Linked DNA regions of Oryctolagus cuniculus. The protein of the gene in region 3 purifies or fractionates together with the protein of the main gene of each other region. This does not show direct contact. Links are inferred from orthologs where the notes say so. Each region holds a gene or a part of one and is shown on either strand. Other genes may lie near its edges.

What was found. Proteins that work in one complex are often made in the same cells at the same time.
Region 1: the proteins of LIN37 (region 3) and MYBL2 purify together in Homo sapiens (affinity purification with mass spectrometry; 6 studies listed by BioGRID and IntAct, counting the BioPlex papers as one, with this or other methods). This does not show direct contact. The link is inferred for Oryctolagus cuniculus from reciprocal best matches to the Homo sapiens genes LIN37 and MYBL2.
Region 2: the proteins of LIN37 (region 3) and LIN52 purify together in Homo sapiens (affinity purification with mass spectrometry; 6 studies listed by BioGRID and IntAct, counting the BioPlex papers as one, with this or other methods). This does not show direct contact. The link is inferred for Oryctolagus cuniculus from reciprocal best matches to the Homo sapiens genes LIN37 and LIN52.

Annotation. Positions count from the first base shown.
Region 1 is NC_091442.1:15,287,421-15,293,276, reverse strand, and holds part of MYBL2 (myb-related protein B), read left to right. Parts: intron 1-3,477; coding exon 3,478-3,549; intron 3,550-4,328; coding exon 4,329-4,421; intron 4,422-5,856. UniProt on the Homo sapiens protein: Transcription factor involved in the regulation of cell survival, proliferation, and differentiation. Transactivates the expression of the CLU gene.
Region 2 is NC_091451.1:20,266,801-20,272,656, reverse strand, and holds part of LIN52 (protein lin-52 homolog), read right to left. Parts: intron 3,539-5,856; coding exon 3,472-3,538; intron 1,608-3,471; coding exon 1,524-1,607; intron 754-1,523; coding exon of another isoform or gene 752-753; exon of another isoform or gene 1-751.
Region 3 is NC_091449.1:19,406,856-19,413,171, forward strand, and holds LIN37 (protein lin-37 homolog), read left to right. Parts: upstream 1-1,302; 5' UTR 1,303-1,675; coding exon 1,676-1,709; intron 1,710-3,197; coding exon 3,198-3,273; intron 3,274-3,435; coding exon 3,436-3,486; intron 3,487-3,758; coding exon 3,759-3,788; intron 3,789-3,871; coding exon 3,872-3,957; intron 3,958-4,045; coding exon 4,046-4,212; intron 4,213-4,887; coding exon 4,888-5,028; intron 5,029-5,111; coding exon 5,112-5,185; intron 5,186-5,265; coding exon 5,266-5,347; 3' UTR 5,348-5,873; downstream 5,874-6,316. Other genes in the region: HSPB6 (heat shock protein beta-6), read right to left, coding at 6,203-6,316.

The DNA.
Region 1 (5,856 bases), on a different chromosome or scaffold from region 3:
CATTGTTTAAGAAGTTTGTTCAGATGTGTGCTGAGCAGATCTTTTCATCCCTCTGGGGTCCAAGGAGGGAAGATGTCACGTGTTCAGCTCCTGCGGCTCAGGAGAATACACGGATTGGTTCTTCATCCAGAGCGGGACGCGCGTCATCCTGGTCTTCGCAGGACCTCGTGATGGCCGGAGTGGTGTCCGATGTGCTCCTGTTGTACCTGCATTCTTGTCTTGCACAAGGCTCATGGCACACGGGGGCTGAGAGTCGCCTGTCCCCGCGAGAGCCGGGAGCGTGCAGATACCTGTGCTAGGAGAGGTGACTTCCTTGAAGGGCTTAGGGAAAGTTCATGGAGAACGTGGCCTTCGAGCCTGGGTGAGAATTTGGAAATTCAGCCCCCAGGAAGACAAGCTGTGTAGAGAGTTTGGGGTGTGTCCCAGCAGGAAATGCCATAGCGCCCAGAGTCTTGGAGGGGAGGGTCCTTGAAGGGGCAGAATGGTTGATGCCGATGAAAAGATAGAATAGGACCAACCCCTGGAAGGCCCTGAGGTTCTGCTGTGAAGTGTTGGGCTTGTTCCACTGGCACTGTGAGTTTTTTTTCCCCCTTCTTAAAGATTTATTTATTTGAGAGGCAGAGAGAGAGAGCTGTCTTCCATCTGCTGATTCACTCCCTGAATGGCCACAGTGGTCAGAGCTGAGCTGATCTGAAGCCAGGAGCCTGGAGCTTCTTCTGATTTTCCCGCATGGGTGCAGGGGCCCAAGCACATGGGCCATCTTCTGCTTTCTGATGCCATAGCAGAGGGCTGGATTGGAAGTGGAGCATCCGGGACTAGAACCAGTGCCCATATGGAATTCCGGCACTGTAGGTGGAGGCTTAGCCCACTACGCCACAGCTCCGGCCCCAGGAAGTGAGGTTTTAAAGCAGGGGAGCCCTGCCTCCTGGTTTGGACAGCTACCCTGTCCCTCTCTACGTCCCCTGGCTAAGGGAAGCTTTCCTTCTGTTTTATATGCACTAATCTGTGTAGGTAGCTAGGAGTAGACATTGGGGCGGCATTGGGCTAAGAGATTGGTGTGGGGGCCTGTGTTGTGGCTTAGCAGGTTCAGCCACAACCTGCCGTGCTGGTGGTTCAAGTCTACTTCCGATCCAGCTCCCTGTTAACACACCTGGGAAAGCAGTGTGGGAAATGGCACAGGTGCTTGGGCCCCTGTGCCCATCTGGGAGACCTGGATGGAGTTCTAGTCCTGGCTTCAGCCTGGCCCAGCCCTGGCCTTAACCCTTTCTCAGGGCACAGTATGGCAGTGTTAAGTATTCCCCATGGTCTACGGGGCAGCAGATCTTAGGAAGCTTTCTGTTTTCTGAGAAATGGAACTCTTACCTTTTGGGCACTAATTCTCTCCCCAGCCCTTGGCTGCTAGGTGCCTGCTTTCTGTTTCTGTGGCTTTGACTGCTCTCGGTACCTCGTGACTGGAAGCACACAGTACTTGTCCTTTTGTGACTGGCTTATTTCATGGAACAAAATGTCCTCAAGGGTTGTCCCTGTTCCATCTAGTATGTTTCAGAATTTCCTTTTTTTTTTTTTTTTTTTTTTTTTTTTAGTTTGCCTTCTTTTTAATTAGAGATTTGTTTATTTACTTATTCAAATGGCAGAGTGACAGAGCAAGAGAGACAGAGCTTCCATCCACTGGCTCATTCCCCGAATTGCTGTTGACAGCTGGGGCTGGACCAGGCAGAAGCCAGGAGCTCAGAGCTCCATCCAGGTCTTGCACGTGGGTGCAGGGGCCTGAGCCGTCTCCTGCTCTGCTAGTCACATTAGCAGGAAGCTGCGTCGGGGCCGAATAGCCCGGGACTCGAACCCACACTTTGATATGAGATGCTGGTGTGGCAAGTGGTGGTTTAATCCGTTGTGCCACATTAGCCTCTGTTTTTCTTCATTTTTTTTTTAAGACTGGGTCATATTTCATTGATGTCTTTACCATGTTTTCTTTGTGTATATCATATTTTTTAAAAATTTTACTTATTAGACAGAAATCTTCCATATGCTGATTTACTCTCAATGCCTCTAACAGCTGGGGCTGGGCCAGACCAAAACCAGGAGCCAGGAATTTCATTCAAGTCTCCTGCATGGGTGTCAGGGACTCAAGTACTTGAGCCAGAGTACACATTGTTAGCAGGAAGCTGGAATAGGAGCAGAGCTGGGATTTGAACTCAGGCACTCTGATATGAGAAAGTGTGTCCCAAGTGACATATTTTTTTTTTTTTAAGATTTATTTATTTATTTATTTGAAAGGCAGAGTTACAGAGAGGCAGAGAGACAGAGAAATCTTCTATCTGCTGGTTTACTCTCCAAATGCCCACTACAGTTGGAGCTGGGCTGGTCTGAAGCCAGGAGCCTGGAGCTTCTTCCAGGATTCGCATGCGGGTGCGGGGGCCCAAGGACTTGGGCCATCCTCCACTGTTTTCCCAGGCACATTAGCAGGGAGCATCGTTGGAAATGGAGCAGCTGGGACTTGAACCGGTGCCCATATGGGATGCTGGCACTGCTGGCAGTAGCTTTACCTGCTACACCACAGCGCCAGGCCCCCCAAGTGCCATCTTAACTGCTATTCCAAATACTCCTATATATTTTATTTCTATAAAATTGAGAAATACTTTATATACAATCAACTGCCGTTCGACGTACAGCTCAGTGAATTTCACAGGTGCTTGTTTACAGCCACGAATAGCAGCAGTCACGTTCCAGAACATTCCACTACCCCCAACACAGTCCTCGCTCTCCTTGCTGTCTCTTTTGTCCGACCACTGGCTTCCTTTTTGTTCCTGTATCTTAGTTCACATCTTCTAGATTCCGTGTGCGTGGAATGATCCGGTATGTCCCCGTTTATGTCTGACCTATCAGGATCCCGAGATGCACGTTGTGTGACAGTAGCTCCTCTTCAGGAGAACGTGTCTTCTGCCTGCTCTCAGTTCTGCCCATGGCTACCCCACCTCCAGAGCCGAGTCCTGTCACCCCGGGCCTGGGTGCAGTATTGGCCTCGCATGTCCACTCTGCCTCCTTCCATCCCCTTTCCTGCCTTGCAGCAAGCACGTTGGAGCCCTTGTCACAAGCCATTGGACCGTAAATGCTCACTGCTCAGATGCCGCGGTGGCTTAGCCTGCTGCAGAGGCGTCAGTTTTGCATGAGGCCTGGTCCCTGCCGTCCCTCCAGAACCATCTCGCGTCCCTTGTTCACTTGAGTCCAGTGTTCCAGCTTTGCGTTCCCATTACTGTGCATCTCTTTGTGTCTCTGAGCTTTCGATGAGCTCTCCCTAGACCATAAGCCCCTCAGGGTTGCTGCCTGCCGCTGTGACTGCCATTCCTGGCGCGCAGTAGGTGGTCATTTTAAGCCGGGATGGAAGGACGGAGCTGTTCTTGGAGGGGCTACTGTTGGGGGCGCCTGGGAGGCGGCCTCCTGCACAGTGTGCGCTGAGCTCTGTCTTCCTCGTGTTGGCAGGATGAGCAGCTGAGGGCCCTGGTGAGGCAGTTCGGACAGCAGGATTGGAAGTTCCTGGCCAGCCACTTTCCTGTGAGTATGGCAGGGGTTCTCGCCGACCTACCACTGTGCCGGGGACAAGCTTCCTGCCAGGGAGAAGGCGAGGGAGTTCTTACCAGTTCCCTCCGAAGGAGAACCACGTAAAAGACGACTGTGTTCATGGGACCTTGCTTCCCAGAGGCGAAGCCTCTGCCCACAGCTGCCTCGTGTGTCCGGGGCTTTGCGGGGTTTGTAGCTGTGGCCAGTGACATGCTTATTTGCATTGCTTCGTGCACTGCTGGAGCGGATGGGTGCTGGGTTCCTCAACAGTGAGGCTGCAGCTGGGGGCAGGTGGTGCTTCCGCCGGCTGCGGCTGCACAGTAAGGCCCTGCAGCCACCCCACCCCCAGGCTGCAGGTGTCTGCTCTCTGGCTTACTGCCTGGGTCCCCAGGGCCACTAGAGGTCGGAGCCACCAGAGCCCTTTTGTCCACTTTGTTCATCTGCTTTTCATCCGTGTGGTGCTTCAGAAATAGAAACACTCTCCCAAAAGAAAGCAGGGATCTGGAACCTCATGAGTCTGTTACAGGCTTGGCAGGGGTGGCTGCCTGTGTGGGTAGTGGGAGGTGATCTTCTACAGGGGCCCGAACCTGTCCCCGTCTGCAGCAAAGGGAAGCCACGCGTGTCCTCGTGTGTGGGCCTGCAGTGTGTGGTGGGGGTGGTGGTGGTGGCATACACTGGGCCCTGAACCCCTGAGCCCAGTGCTCCAAAGGGTCCCAGCCCATGGATCAGGAGTTCTCACAGATTCCTGAATGTTCTTCCTGTTCACTTCCCAGAACCGCACTGACCAGCAATGCCAGTACCGGTGGCTGAGAGTTTTGAATCCAGATCTTGTCAAGGGGCCCTGGACCAAAGAGGAGGACCAGAAGGTAACTCAGCCACCTGTATTCAGTGGGCCTTCACCCACCTGCAGGGCAGCAGGCACCGTTGTGGGCATGTCCATGCACATGAACCTGGGAGTGAGCCAGCCTGCGATCAGCCCGGGTGTCCCCAGGTGTCCAGTTCGAGGCCCCAGGTCCTGATCCAGAGGGTCTGCAATCAGGAGCTGGGGCTGTTGGGCAGAACACTCAGCTTCTTGGTCCCTGCAGTAGGGTTTTTGTGAAGGTTGGACAGGTGATGCACGGGAGGGGTTTGTGTGGTCCCTGCACCAGCTGAGCTTACAGAGGGTGGCAGGTGCTATTTTCTTGTTATAACGGTGACTGTGCCTGGTGAACCGTTTTCCTGGGCACTGAGCCTTGTAAATGCTGTGTCCTTTTTTTTTTTTTTTTTTTTTTTTTTTTTTTTTTTTAATTTATTTTTTTTTGACAGGCAGAGTGGACAGTGAGAGAGAGAGACAGAGAGAAAGGTCTTCCTTTGCCGTTGGTTCACCCTCCAATGGCCGCCGCGGCCTGCGCGCTGCGGCCGGCGCACCGCGCTGATCCGATGGCAGGAGCCAGGAGCCAGGTGCTTTTCCTGGTCTCCCATGGGGTGCAGGGCCCAAGCACCTGGGCCATCCTCCACTGCACTCCCTGGCCACAGCAGAGGGCTGGCCTGGAAGAGGGGCAACCGGGACAGAATCCGGTGCCCCGACCGGGACTAGAACCCGGTGTGCCGGCGCCGCTAGGCGGAGGATTAGCCTAGTGAGCCGCGGCGCCGGCCCTGCTGTGTCCTTTTGATCACAGTCGTGTGAATGGGTACAAGGGGACATCAAGGCTCAGAGTAGGGTGCCCCCAAGCTAGGAAGAGGCAGCACCAGGACCCCCGGGCTATTTCTCAGGAGTCTTCTCTCTGGTTCTTCCTGAAACCAGCCCAGAGAATGCCACTGCACTGGCAGGCGCAGCCCAGGGAGAAGAGGGAGGTGAGAGGACTAGATGTTTTATTATTATTTTAAATTTAGCTATTTTCATTTTATTTGAAAGGCAAAGAGATATTTCATCCTCTGGTTCATTCCCCAAATGCCTACAATTGCCAGGCCAAAGCCAGGAGACAGGAACTTCATCTGGGCCTCCACTGTGGGTGGCAGGAACACAAGTACTTGAACCGTCTGCTGCCTCCCCGGGTGCGCATTAGCAGTAGCTGAATCAGAAGGACAGCAGCCGGGACTCAGACCAGGCCCTTAGACACCGGATGTGGGCATCACAAGCAGTGGCTTAACCTGCTGCACTGTGACATCCACCCCAGGTTTGTTTTTAGGGATTTTAAGTCTTAATTTTAGGCGGGGGCTTTGTGGTGCGGTGGGCCAAATCTCTGCTTGGAGCACCTGCATCCTTTATTGGAGTGCTGGTTCCAGTCCTGGCTGCTTCATTTCCCATTCAGCTGTCTCCTA
Region 2 (5,856 bases), on a different chromosome or scaffold from region 3:
ATAGAAGTAATGGAAATAAAGAAAAGATACAGAGGGCTAAAGAAGTGATGATTTATTAGTGAAAACCTAGGCATTTTAAATTTTAAAATGAAAATTTGAATTTGCCTGTAAATTTTATCAGTGATGTAAACAAATATACTAAATGTAAATAAACAAGAAAAAACCAACTTATCAAACTATGTGGGATTGCTACAAACCTAAATTTTTCATGAACACTACAAACTATAGTAGCACTCTCAAAATGTTGATTTATGAAGGTCTCAGAAGATACCCTTTGAGAATAGGCTATAATCACTATATTTACATTTAGTATTTTGTTTTTCAATTACAAAGTGAGAATTTTCTATAAATTTTCTCCAATTTTATAATGAACATACTATAAGAAAGTATACAATTTATAAGGGAATGACTTTAAACTAAAATAATGGAGAACAGAAAGATATAAATGGAAAATGTTAAAGCATTACTCATGGGGCCGGCGCCGTGGCTCACTTGGTTAATCTTCCACCTGTGGCGCCAGCATCCCATATGGACACCAGGTTCTAGTCCCGGTTGCTCCTCTTCCAGTCCAGCTCTCTGCTGTGGCCCGGGAGGGCAGTGGAGGATGGCCCAAGTGCTTGGGCCCTGCACCGCATGGGAGACCAGGAAGAAGTACCTGGCTCTTGGCTTCGGATTGGTGTAGCTCCGGCCATAGCGGCCATTTGGGGGGTGAACCAACAGAAGGAAGACCTTTTTCTCTGTCTCTCTATAACTCTGTCAAATAAATAAAAAAAAATAATAATAATTCTTAAAAAAAGCATTACTCATAGCAGCAGGTATGTTTTAGTCTGTTGTATAGCCCTTCCTTTGTCATTTGGGTCAGACTAGCCCTTCTAGTCTACAGCTGCATCCAGGACCCAGGATGGTCCAGCCAAGTGCTCCAGGCCACCAGGCCAAGCAACTGGTCCAAGGGTGCATTTGTGAGCCAAGACAGAACACAGTTGAGTCTTCCCCGGGAACTGTTTTTTTGGGGTGGGGAGGGAATACTCAGAAAAAGACATTCTTTGTTTCCTTTGGAATCATTATATTTAAAGACACATAAACTGCAGTTCTTTCCTCAGTGCCAGGAAAAAGCTACCTGCAGCAGCAAAGAATGTGACTCACGCACAAGTGAGGCAAAGCTTTAAGACGAACAAAAGCACACCCACTCGTATCAGTAAGTCATGGATCTACAGCCTCAGGCCTATTTCTGTCCCTGGACTTTAAAACTATGCAAACTAAGAAATAATAAAGTCTCTCTTCTGTTTGAGCTCATCTGTGTCAACATTCTATTGCTTAAAACGTACTGCAGTGAGACATAGTGTCTAGTAAGTCCAGTTATTATTCCAGCATACTTATCATAAAAGATAGACTTTAAATTACATTGACTTCTTACCTTCAGAACACTTTCCTTTATTTAATAAAGACATTTTCTGAATTATAACTAGAACTCATCCTGGAATGTGCAACATATAGCCCTGAATAAATGGGATCTGGGTACTCACACTCATCCAGTCCCAGCTGATAGGCCAGGTTCTGTAGGCCTCGTACCTTCTCCATCAAATTAGCCGTGGTGAGGCTTCCCAGTTCTGAAACAGAATCATTTATTTCAATACTATTTCTTCCTACTATCTTCTAGTAATATTTCATTTGGGTTGGGAATATTTTTCAAGCTTAATTTTTTTTTTACTTTTTAAAAATGGGTTCCTTAAATATTTATTTACTGATTTACTTATTTATTTATTTGAGGCAGAAAGGGAGAGAGAGAGAAATCTCCCATTTGCTAGTTCATTCCCCAAACACCTGCAACGGCTGTGGTTGGGTCAGGCCTAAGCTGGGGACTGAGAACTCAATCTGTACTTCCCACATGGGTAGCAGGGGCTCACATACTTGAGATACCACACACTGTCCCCACAGTGTGCATCCTGGCAAGAAGCTGGAGCCAGAATTTGAACCTTGGACTCTAATACAGAATGTGGATATGCCAAGCAGCATGTTAACTACTACATAAATGTCTGCCTTCAAGCTTAATTTCTATTGAATAAGTAGAAAATGGGTTCTTACACTTTCTCCAATCTTATACGCACATACATACACACAAAATCAGTGAATTTTTACACTATTGCAGAGTGTCTCAGATGAGCTTACCCACTTAATAAGGAAAGCACAAGTACAATAATAAATGAAGTGTTTTACCCTAAAGAGCCTTTTATTCCATTCATTTAGTCTATTACACAAAATGAGTGTATCATTAAAATATAAAACTTTGTATGACTTGACATAGCATTGAGAAAGCCTTGCTGACAGATCTCTATCTTGCAAAATTATATCTTGTCATTATATATTATCCTGTCAATATACACTATATCCTTTGTCATTTATAAGTCACAATTATTTCAATAACAATAAAACAGCAACAATATGCTTACTATTCCCCATTTCCATGAGTTTAGAAAACAAAGCCTAAATATAAATACATATTTTCCCTTCAGAGAGTATACCTAAAATAACAACTTACCTCCCCAGATTTTCATTTAAATAACACTTAATTCTTTTTAAGTTTAAGACACAAGTCAATTTAAATGAAACATACTGGTATTACCCTTAACGAAAAATTTAAAGTTTCTCTAGGAAATACACACTGATAGGGTGTTATATAAATACTATTTCACACATTAGAACAATGAACCTTTTAGATGTCCTTGAAACTTAATTTTTCCATGGGTAGAGGAAGGGATCTACGTTTCAGCATTTCACACAGAACAATGAATTACTTCTGAAATCAAATAAAGGTTTTTTTCTCCCATTTATCATGCTGCAGTCATTATCTATATCTGGCATAAGCAAGCCTTCCTGATCTGTTCAGCTGCTTAAATAGTTCAAGAATCCTGGGTTCTCACTTTAATTTCAGTCTATTATTTCACAACCATCATGAATCTTATCACCAGAAGGATGATGAAAAATAAATAAAGTACAGGAAAATCAAGGAAAATTAATGTTTTTTAATTTAAACTTCTACTTTGTGAATAAGTTCCAAATCATTTATCAAACAACAGCATTCACTACTTATGGTATTCTGTATGGAAGAAATTGATGGGCCAGAAAGAAATAAAGGTAGGTTTTAACTCACTAAGGTAAGGAACTGACAACAGCACATGACGGTCAATCCTAAATAAGGGACTTGTGTTATAGTGGAAAGAGACTAGACTTAAAATAAAAGATGAACTTTAAAATTTTAATTCTTTCTAACAAATCTTAGATTTTATAAAATAAAAAATGAACTTAATTTCAATTGTAACAAATCTTGGATTTCAATATTTTTTGCACTAAAATACACTCATTTTTAATTCCATTTTTCCATGAATTTTTTGAAGTATCTTCATACTTGTAAGGAAATAGTGAAAAAACAATAGCAAAGGTGATTTGTAGAGGAACATAAATGGTGTTGCTTACCTTTCAACATGTCAATATCATCACGTTCTATTTCAGCCATCCATTTGGGTGGGGAGCTAGTAATAGGCTGTCAGAAAATAAGAATATAACCATTCAGACAGGTACACAGCGTGATGAGACCGCCTTTTCCTTCCTTTAGGAAATGTAGCTGGTCACACATACAACCTTCAGGTTGTCTGAAAACATTGTCTTCAGTTTATCCAGGTTGATATGATCTACAAATAGTCACCTTACAGAATAATTCTTTTTATCTTTAAAGTTGGTCTTGGAGAAATGATCTTAGCAGAATTAGGTGTGACCACTAACACTATTATTCTAGGCATACACTAACTTGCTTGTAAGAACAGCTTTGGATCAGCAGTTTTCAATCTCAGTTGCACTCGAGAATCACCTATGTAATTTTAAAAAATACATAAATGCTTTGGCTGTATCCCAGACGTACTGATTTCCAATATCAGGTTCTCAAGAGGATCTCCTGGAAAGAGCTGGACGAGGGATTCCACATACGCATTTTCCAATGGACTGAGAAGTGTAATTTCAGCTTTGGGTCCATCTCTCTTACAGAATTACAATTACTCAGCAGCACCAACTCGTGCCAAACAAAAGACTTTACATGCACCATGTTATTTACAACCAAATCAACCTAACCAAGTAGGCATTATCCTTATTTTACAATTGAGAAAAACCAAGAACAGGGATGATGCTTCATGTCACATAGCTAGAAGAGCCAGGATTTAAAAGGATTTCTAGGTTCAGGTAATCTGAATCTAGAAACCACTATGAGTAGTCTACACTGCCTGGCTTAGAAGGCTCTAAGTCAAATTCACCATTTTACCCCTTATGGGGAAAGATTATCCTAGGAGATCTTAACTTGGCATCCTGGAATGTCCTTGGGACCCTAGAAACAAAATAATATGTACGTGCACAACTCTAAGGTAAAGATGTAGATGCTGAATAAGATTTTTTTTTAATTATGTGTTTATTTGAAAGCCAGAGTTACAAAGAAAAAGATCTTGCATCTGTTGTTTCACTCCCCAGATGGCCACACAGGCCAGGCTGAAATCAGGAGCCTCAACTGGGTCTCCCAGTGGGTTGCAGGATCCTAAACACTTGGGTCATTTTCTGCTGCTTTTCCCTGGCTGTTAGCAGGGAGCCAAATCAAAAGTAGAGCAGCTGGGACACCAGTGCCCATAAAGGATACTGACTACATGCAGCAGCTCTAGCTGCTACGCCACAACAGCAGCCCGGATCAGATTTTTAAAAGCCATCTTTCAGGCCGGCGCCATGGCTCAATAGGCTAATCCTCCACCTTGCGGCGCCGGCACACCGGGTTCTAGTCCCGGTTGGGGCGCCGGATTCTGTCCCGGTTGCCCCTCTTCCAGGCCAGCTCTCTGCTATGGCCAGGGAGTGCAGTGGAGGATGGCCCAGGTGCTTGGGCCCTGCACCCCATGGGAGACCAGGAAAAGCACCTGGCTCCTGGCTCCTGCCAGGATCAGCGCGGTGCGCCGGCTGCAGCGGCGGCCATGGAGGGTGAACCAACAGCAAAAAGGAAGACCTTTCTCTCTCTGTCTCTCTCTCTCACTGTCTACTCTGCCTGTCAAAAAAAAAAAAAAAAAAAAAAAAAAAAGCCATCTTTCAGCCAGCACCGCGGCTCACTAGGCTAATCTTCCGCCTGCGGCGCCGGCACCCCAGGTTCTAGTCCCAGTTGTGTGGGGAGCAACTTGGACTAGACTAAGTTACTGGAATTAAGACTTATTCTATGCATCTGCTCTCACACAATATGGCGCTGGGAGAGGAGTAAACAGCTTCTACACAGCTGCCTCCAGTTTGACCAGTAACCTGCAGGAGCTGATCCTGCTCCTGATTGGAGGAGAGCAGCGTACTCGGCGTGTGGGTAGCAGAGTTGGGATTGGTGGAAGAGGACTATAAAGCAGGAGAGAGACAACATGCACCAGGAACATCTGAAGGAACATCTATATGAAGGAACACCTGAGCAGCCCCCGGGAGAGCCGGCTGGCGGTGTGCCGCTCCCCCACGGAAGTGGGGAAAGTGGCAGGGGGAACCGCCCTTCCACGGAGGTGGAAGGGACGGTAGCCAACCCGGGAAGAACGAGCAGACAAAAGAACAGCGCAGGGTCCTGTGTCGTTCCTCCGCGAAGAGGGGGAGTGACACAGTTGGGGCGCCGGATTCTGTCCTGGTTGCTCCTCTTCCAGGCCAGCTCTCTACTGTGGCCCGGGGGTGCAGTGGAGGATGGCCCAAGTGCTTGGGCCCTGCACCCCATGGGAGACCAGGAGAAGCACCTGGCTCCTGGCTTCGGATTGGCTCAGCATGCCGGCTGTAGCGGCCATTTTGGGGGTGAACCAATTTTCTCTCTGTCTCTTTCTC
Region 3 (6,316 bases):
CCCCCCACCGCCTCTGCCTCTGCCTCTCTGTAACTCTGCCTTTCAAATAAATAGTAAAATAAATCTTTAAAAAAAAAAGGTTTAGGCCCCACCTTTATACTCTGTATGCCTTTCTTTTCTTTTTATTGATTTATATATTTTGAGAAAGAGATGGAGTGCCCATCGGCTGTTGGTTCTCCACATGCCTGCAACCACCTGGACTGCCCCAAGCCAAAACAGGGAGCTGGAAATGCAATCCAGTTCTCCCCTGCGGTGGCGGGAGCCCAGCAAGTTAAGCCCCGGCTGCTGCCTCTGCAGGGTTTGCATCAGCAGGAAGCTGGAATCGGGAGCCGTGGATGGAGCCCAGGCACTCCAGTGTGGGGTGTGAGATGAGGCTTCTTGACCACCAGGTGGAACACCTACCCTCAGCCCGCACTCTCTGTCCTGTCACATTTCACTTAGCATGTTTGACTTGTTTATATGGGTTTTTTTTAAGTGTTTGTTTGTTTGTTTGTTTATGTATTTGAGAGAGTTAACAGACAGTGACTGGGAGAGACAGAAAGGTCTTCCACCCACTGGGTCACTCCCCAAATGGCTGCAGTGGTTGGAGCTGAGTGGATCAGGAGCCAGGAGCTCCTTCCCAGTCTCCCACAGGGGTGCAGGGGCCCAAGGTCTTGGGCCATCTTCTACTGCTTTCCCAGGCCATAGCAGAGAGCTGGATCGGAAGAGGAGCAGCCAGAACTCGAACCGGCACCCATTTGGGATGCTGGTGCCGCCACATCACTGTCCCCTACTTGTTTATATTTTTAAACTTTCACTTATTTTTACTTGAAAGAAAGACGGGAACACAGAGTTTCCATCCACAGATCCCATCAACAGCCAGGGTCCGTCCCAGTGGAAGCCAGGAACCAGGGACTCAACCTTAAGTCTCCCAAGTGGCTGGCAGAGATCTGCCTGCCGCCTCCCAGGATGCACCCCGAAGTGCTTTACTTATCCTCCGTCTTCCATCCTCTACAAGATAAGTTCATTAGGGCAAGGATTTTCATCTGTTCACTGCGTTGCCCCAGTACCTAGATGAATACGTAACAGCCTAATAAAGATTCGCTAAATGAATGACGTTGTGCCTAATAAAAGATCACCCAGTAGGCAGTTGGCTCTTAGTGAGTGCTCAGAAACTAGGAAACCGGCTTGATTCCCTGCAAACAGCTAAATGCGTGTTACTAAAACCTGGCACTACAAGTCCCGGGAAGCTTCGCGATGCCCGATCCTTTGTCTCCCATAGTGCCCCGCGCGGCTCAAGCTAAGTTACTACGGCCGAGTCTCGGGAGCTGGAACTACAACTCCCAGGATTCCCTGGTTTGTCGTCGGTTTGTTTCCGGAAATAAGACCCTCTAGGAAGGTGGAGCTTAAGGCTGGGAGTCGACAGCGGCAGCTGTCTGTAAGTCGGGGTACTAGATTGGCAGTTAAATTGACTAATGAGAAAGAGCGACTGCCCAAAGGGTCCTCCCACAGAAGGGGAAGAAGAGGTGGCCGCGGCGGCGGCGGCAGTGGCGGTTGGACACTGCTGGGGACGGGCCCGCGGTCGCCCCGGGAGCTTGCTCTTTGCAATCTCCGCGCCCGCCTCCAGCTTTGATTCGGCGCCGTATGTTCTTTTGAGCTTTCTCTGACCCACCTAGCCAGATCTCGGACCCAAACCATGTTCCCAGTGAAGGTGAAAGTGGAGAAATCAGGTGAGGACGCGGAGTCGGGGGCCTGTCGGGAACACCGGGCTGATCTGGGTCCAGGGGTCCGGATAGGGGGATGATCGCGAAAAGGTGGACTGCGCGGCTCCTCCCATCAGGCTGTCGTCGTGTCGAGCATCGATCGTTGCTGCCAGCACTCTGGTAGTGGCCGGGCAGTGTGGCGCGGGGAGAGCATCCCAAGCCACTCCTAGTTCTGTGCAGGCTCCTATTCTCGGCTCCGCCTCAGTTTCCCCATTTCCAGCAGCGGGCGTGGGTCAGCCCTTGTGTCCCGAACCCATAATCGCCGTCTTCCGGCCGTCGTAGGAAGGTGGGGAAACTGAGGCTCGGAAAGAGAAAGTTATTCGGGGCGGGGCAGGCTGATGGGGGCAGTGGGAGAGGCACAGGAGGCCAAACAAGAAATAACAGTGGGAGGAAGTGGGGACTTAGGGCAGGTCAGGGGCCTAGGTGGCCGGATGCGCAGGGTGCGAGGGGACGGCGGCGAGAACTGTGGGCCCGCCTGAGCACTTTGGATTTGGCTCTGAGCGGAATGAGGAGGCTAGGGCGGGTTTGAACTGAGAGCCGAGTTAATCAAAGTACCTCTCCCGCAGTGCCCCCCCCCCCGAAGAACAGTGGCCAAGTGGTGAGGGGCTGACTGCAGAGAGGGGAGAGGGCGTGGACACCTGGCGGAGGGGCGCTGTGCAGGGGTGGAGGGCTCTAAGCCAGGAGCAGGGTCAGCCTTGGAAGATTCTTTCTCCTAGCGGAGGGGAGACTGAGGCTAGGAGTCCCCGGGGGTTGGGGGTGAGGGGGTTGGGCTGGACCCAGGTGGCAGAGTATGGAGAGACACTCAGGAGGCCAAGTGGACAAGCCATGGAGTTGGGGGGGGGGGAGAGGGGTCAGAAAAAGAAGGCTATTTTAGATGACATTTCCCCGTCTTTAAGTGTTGTCAGCTCCTTCAGCCACACAGAGGGTCTGGGGCCCTGACGAGGCCGTATGAGCCTCTGCCGTATAACTTAGCTTTGGAAGCAGATGGGCTGGGAGCAGATCCCTCTCAGTGCGACTTTGGGTGTCTCGGCACCTCAGTCTCCTCATCTGTAAGGTGGGTTACCAATGGCACCTGTTGGAGAATTGTGAGAATTCAGTGGGGTGAGACAGGTGGTGTGCTCCCAACAGTCCTGGCACACGGGGAGCACTCTGAATAGGTTAACTTCTCATTTTCCTGTCCTGGTAGATGGGGAAGTGTCTGAAGCTTCATGAAGCCTTGCAGCCATTGTGTGGCTATATGTCATTCGGGGACAGCCCAGGAAGGGGGTGGGCCTTGCCTCCTCTCACACAGTGGGCACGTGCGACAGCCCTGGAGCTCAGGGCCCTACTCATTGCCTCAGGGGCCTCTGCCCCTGGTTTGGGCCCGCCCACAGCTGGCCTGCGCAGAGGAGACACATTCCCTGGTCCAGTCCCGAGGCTGCGAGCTGACGCCTGCTTGGTACCCTCTCTCCGCAGAGCTGGAGATGGCCAAAGCCCGGAACCAGCTGGACGCCGTCTTACAGTGTCTCCTGGAGAAGAGTCACATGGACAGGTCGGGACTTGGTCCTGCGTGGGGGGCAGGGGGAGCTCTGGCTGCCTGAACCCTCTCCTGCCCGGCAGGTCCCAGGGGAAGGGAGCTAGTGGACAGGCCACCTGCTGCCTTCCCACGCCGGGCCTTTGGAGCCCCGAGCCAACAGCTCTCTTCTGTTGCCAGAGAGCGGCTGGATGAGGAAGCCGGGAAGACGCCCTCGGACCCCCACGCTAAGTACGTTGTGTTTTGTTTGGTGGAATCTGATATTGCCTCATCCAAGCCCTGACCGCGTGCCCTGGGCTTCCTGAGTCGTGACGTAGCACCCCCACGTACAGAGATGCTTGGTGGCAGAGCGTGGGGTGGGACACGAGGCCCAGGTCTCGGTGGGGTCAGATGGCCATCTCAGGCTTAATCCCAGCGTCCACAGGTGCCCAGGGCAAGGCGGGGCAGTGGGCTGAGCAGTGTGTGTTTAGGGGTCGGCCTACTGAAACCCCTTCTCCCCACAGGGATTGCTCCATTGCGGCCACTGGCAAAAGGTAAGGCAGCAGGGACCCCAGCCAGCTCGGGAGAGGCTCCCAGCCCCCACCCAGGCCCTGACACACCTGCCCTCCCCACACAGGCCGTCTGCGCGCTTCCCTCACCAGCGGAGGAAGAAGAGGAGGGAGATGGATGACGGGCTGGCTGAGGGAGGGCCACAGCGGTCCAGTGAGTAGGCAGTGGCCCTGGAGGGTGGGCAGAGAGCCAGGGGGTGCCACGAGGATGCTCAGGTACCTCCCGCCACGCTCTACCCCAGACACGTACGTGATCAAGCTGTTCGACCGGAGCGTGGACTTGGCCCAGTTCAGCGAGAACACACCGCTGTACCCGATCTGCCGTGCCTGGATGCGCAACAGCCCCTCAGTGCGCGAGCGTGAACGCTCGCCCGGCTCCCCACTGCCCCCCCTGCCTGAGGACGAGGAGGTGGGATGGACAGTGGGCCCTAGTGCAGCTGCCAGGAAAGCAGTGGGTAGACGGGCTCCCTCCCCCTAGCTCCTGGGGGGGACTGGCACAGGTCCCTGTGTCCCACAAATGAACGCAGGGCCAAGTGCGGCACACAGATGGGCTCTTGTAGGCTGGGCAGGCAGAACCCTGGCCTGAGGGGAAAGCAACAGATAAATGTGACCCCCAAGGTAAAGGGTCCCCAAGAGCTGAGAGGCTGGATGGGTTGTTAGTGGCCTGGGGGAGCAGGGTAGATGAGGTTCTGGTATCTGGCTAGAGATGGCAGCCAGGGGTCCCCAGGATGTACGGAGATGACTCTCTGAACTCTCAAGGTGGGGTAGGAATCCCCAGAGCAGACAGGGACACCTGGCCTGGGGAGTGACGCGAAGGGGTCCCTTGGTGACACATAGGGGGCCCCTTAGGAATCCCTGAAGCTGACAGGTGTAGATGGGCATCCCTGGGTGAGGGTGGACAGGGCTTCCTGGCTAGAGAGGAGAAAAAACGGATCGCCCAGGGTAAACACACCTGAGCTCTGGGCTGGGCAAGGTGTCTGCCCTTCAGGTCCTTTGTCACTGGGAAAAGCAGGAGGATGAAGTGGATACTCCTTGCCCTCTTATCTGACTTCCTCGGGCCTGGCTTGGGGCCCTTGTATCCCAGGGTTCAGAGGTCACCAATAGCAAGAGTCGTGACGTGTACAAGCTGCCTCCACCCATGGCCCCTGGGCCACCCGGAGACGCCTGCAGAACCCGCATCCCATCCCCGCTGCAGCCGGAGACCCAGGGCACCGCCGACGATGAGGTGGGTATAGAAGGCTGGCCTGGGGCTCAGGGGGCTGTGCTGGGGGGCTTGGCCACCCAGCCTGGCTCTGTCTGTGCACACAGCCTTCCGAGCCCGAGCCTTCGCCCTCCACGCTCATCTATCGCAACATGCAGCGCTGGAAACGCATCCGCCAGAGGTGAGCGGCCCCCAACCTGCCCCCTCCACCGGCGTCTGATGGACTTGCTAAGTCCTCCCCGCCCCGCCCCAACTCCCCAGGTGGAAGGAGGCGTCTCATCGGAACCAGCTCCGCTACTCGGAAAGCATGAAGATCCTTCGGGAGATGTACGAGCGACAGTAGCGTTCCTGCCCCAATAAACACCCTCAGTTCCACACTGACCATCGTCCTGCCCGTCCTTTCCAGCCCAGACACAAGGCGGCTGGCACAGCTCTAGCACATTTATTAGGGGAGGGGGGGGTCTAGAAGGGAGGGGGAACAGGGTGGCTGGTGAGTGACTCAAAGGGGCAAAAGGTCGCGGGAAATCAGAGTGGCTGGTGGGTTGGGTCCTGGAGGAGGAGAGGAGTGTGGAAGGCGGGCTGCCTAGGGTGTCTGGTCGGAGACCTGGGGTCAAGACAGACTGGTGGGAGGTGGGGAGGGGCCCGGGAACAGCTGTGCAGAGGCCGTCTGGTTGGGGTGCTGGTTGGCCTAGGGTAGGCGTCCAGAGGTGGGCAGTCAGGGGACTTGGAGTCTGGGGGTTTCAAGTCAGAAAGGGGGCCGCAGGAGGGTGGGGTGGCTGGTTGCAGGGGAGGGTTGCAGAGGCCTGGGACGAGGCTGTTGGGCCTGTGCGGTGGGGGCTGCTTACCTGTGGGGGATTACGCCCGCCCCACTGGCCTAGGGGCCGGCAGGGATGGAGTGGGGTGTGGGGATGTCCTCACAGAGCAGTCAGACGGAGCAGAGTCTCGAGGGGGCGATGGGCCAAGAAAGTGGGGTGGGTGCACAGGAGACTGGAGGGTGAGGGTCTGACACCTGGAGGTGGAGGGGTGGACGGTGAGTGTGGGTGGCAGGGGAAGCATCTGGGCGGAGGGGTCAAGGCAGGATCTCAGATTGGGTGGGGATGGTCTTGGCAAGCTCACGACTTCTGGCTGGGCGGAGTCAGATCGGCTTTAAAAGAGGGAGCTCCAGGCAGCTCCCGGGGCTCAGGCATGCCTGAGACCCCTACTTGGCGGCAGCTGCGGACGGCAGTGGAGCCTGCGCTGGTGCTGGAGCGGCCTGGATGGACAGGACGCCCTCGGGAGACAGCGCCGACGTCACGGCGGCAGGGTCCACGCC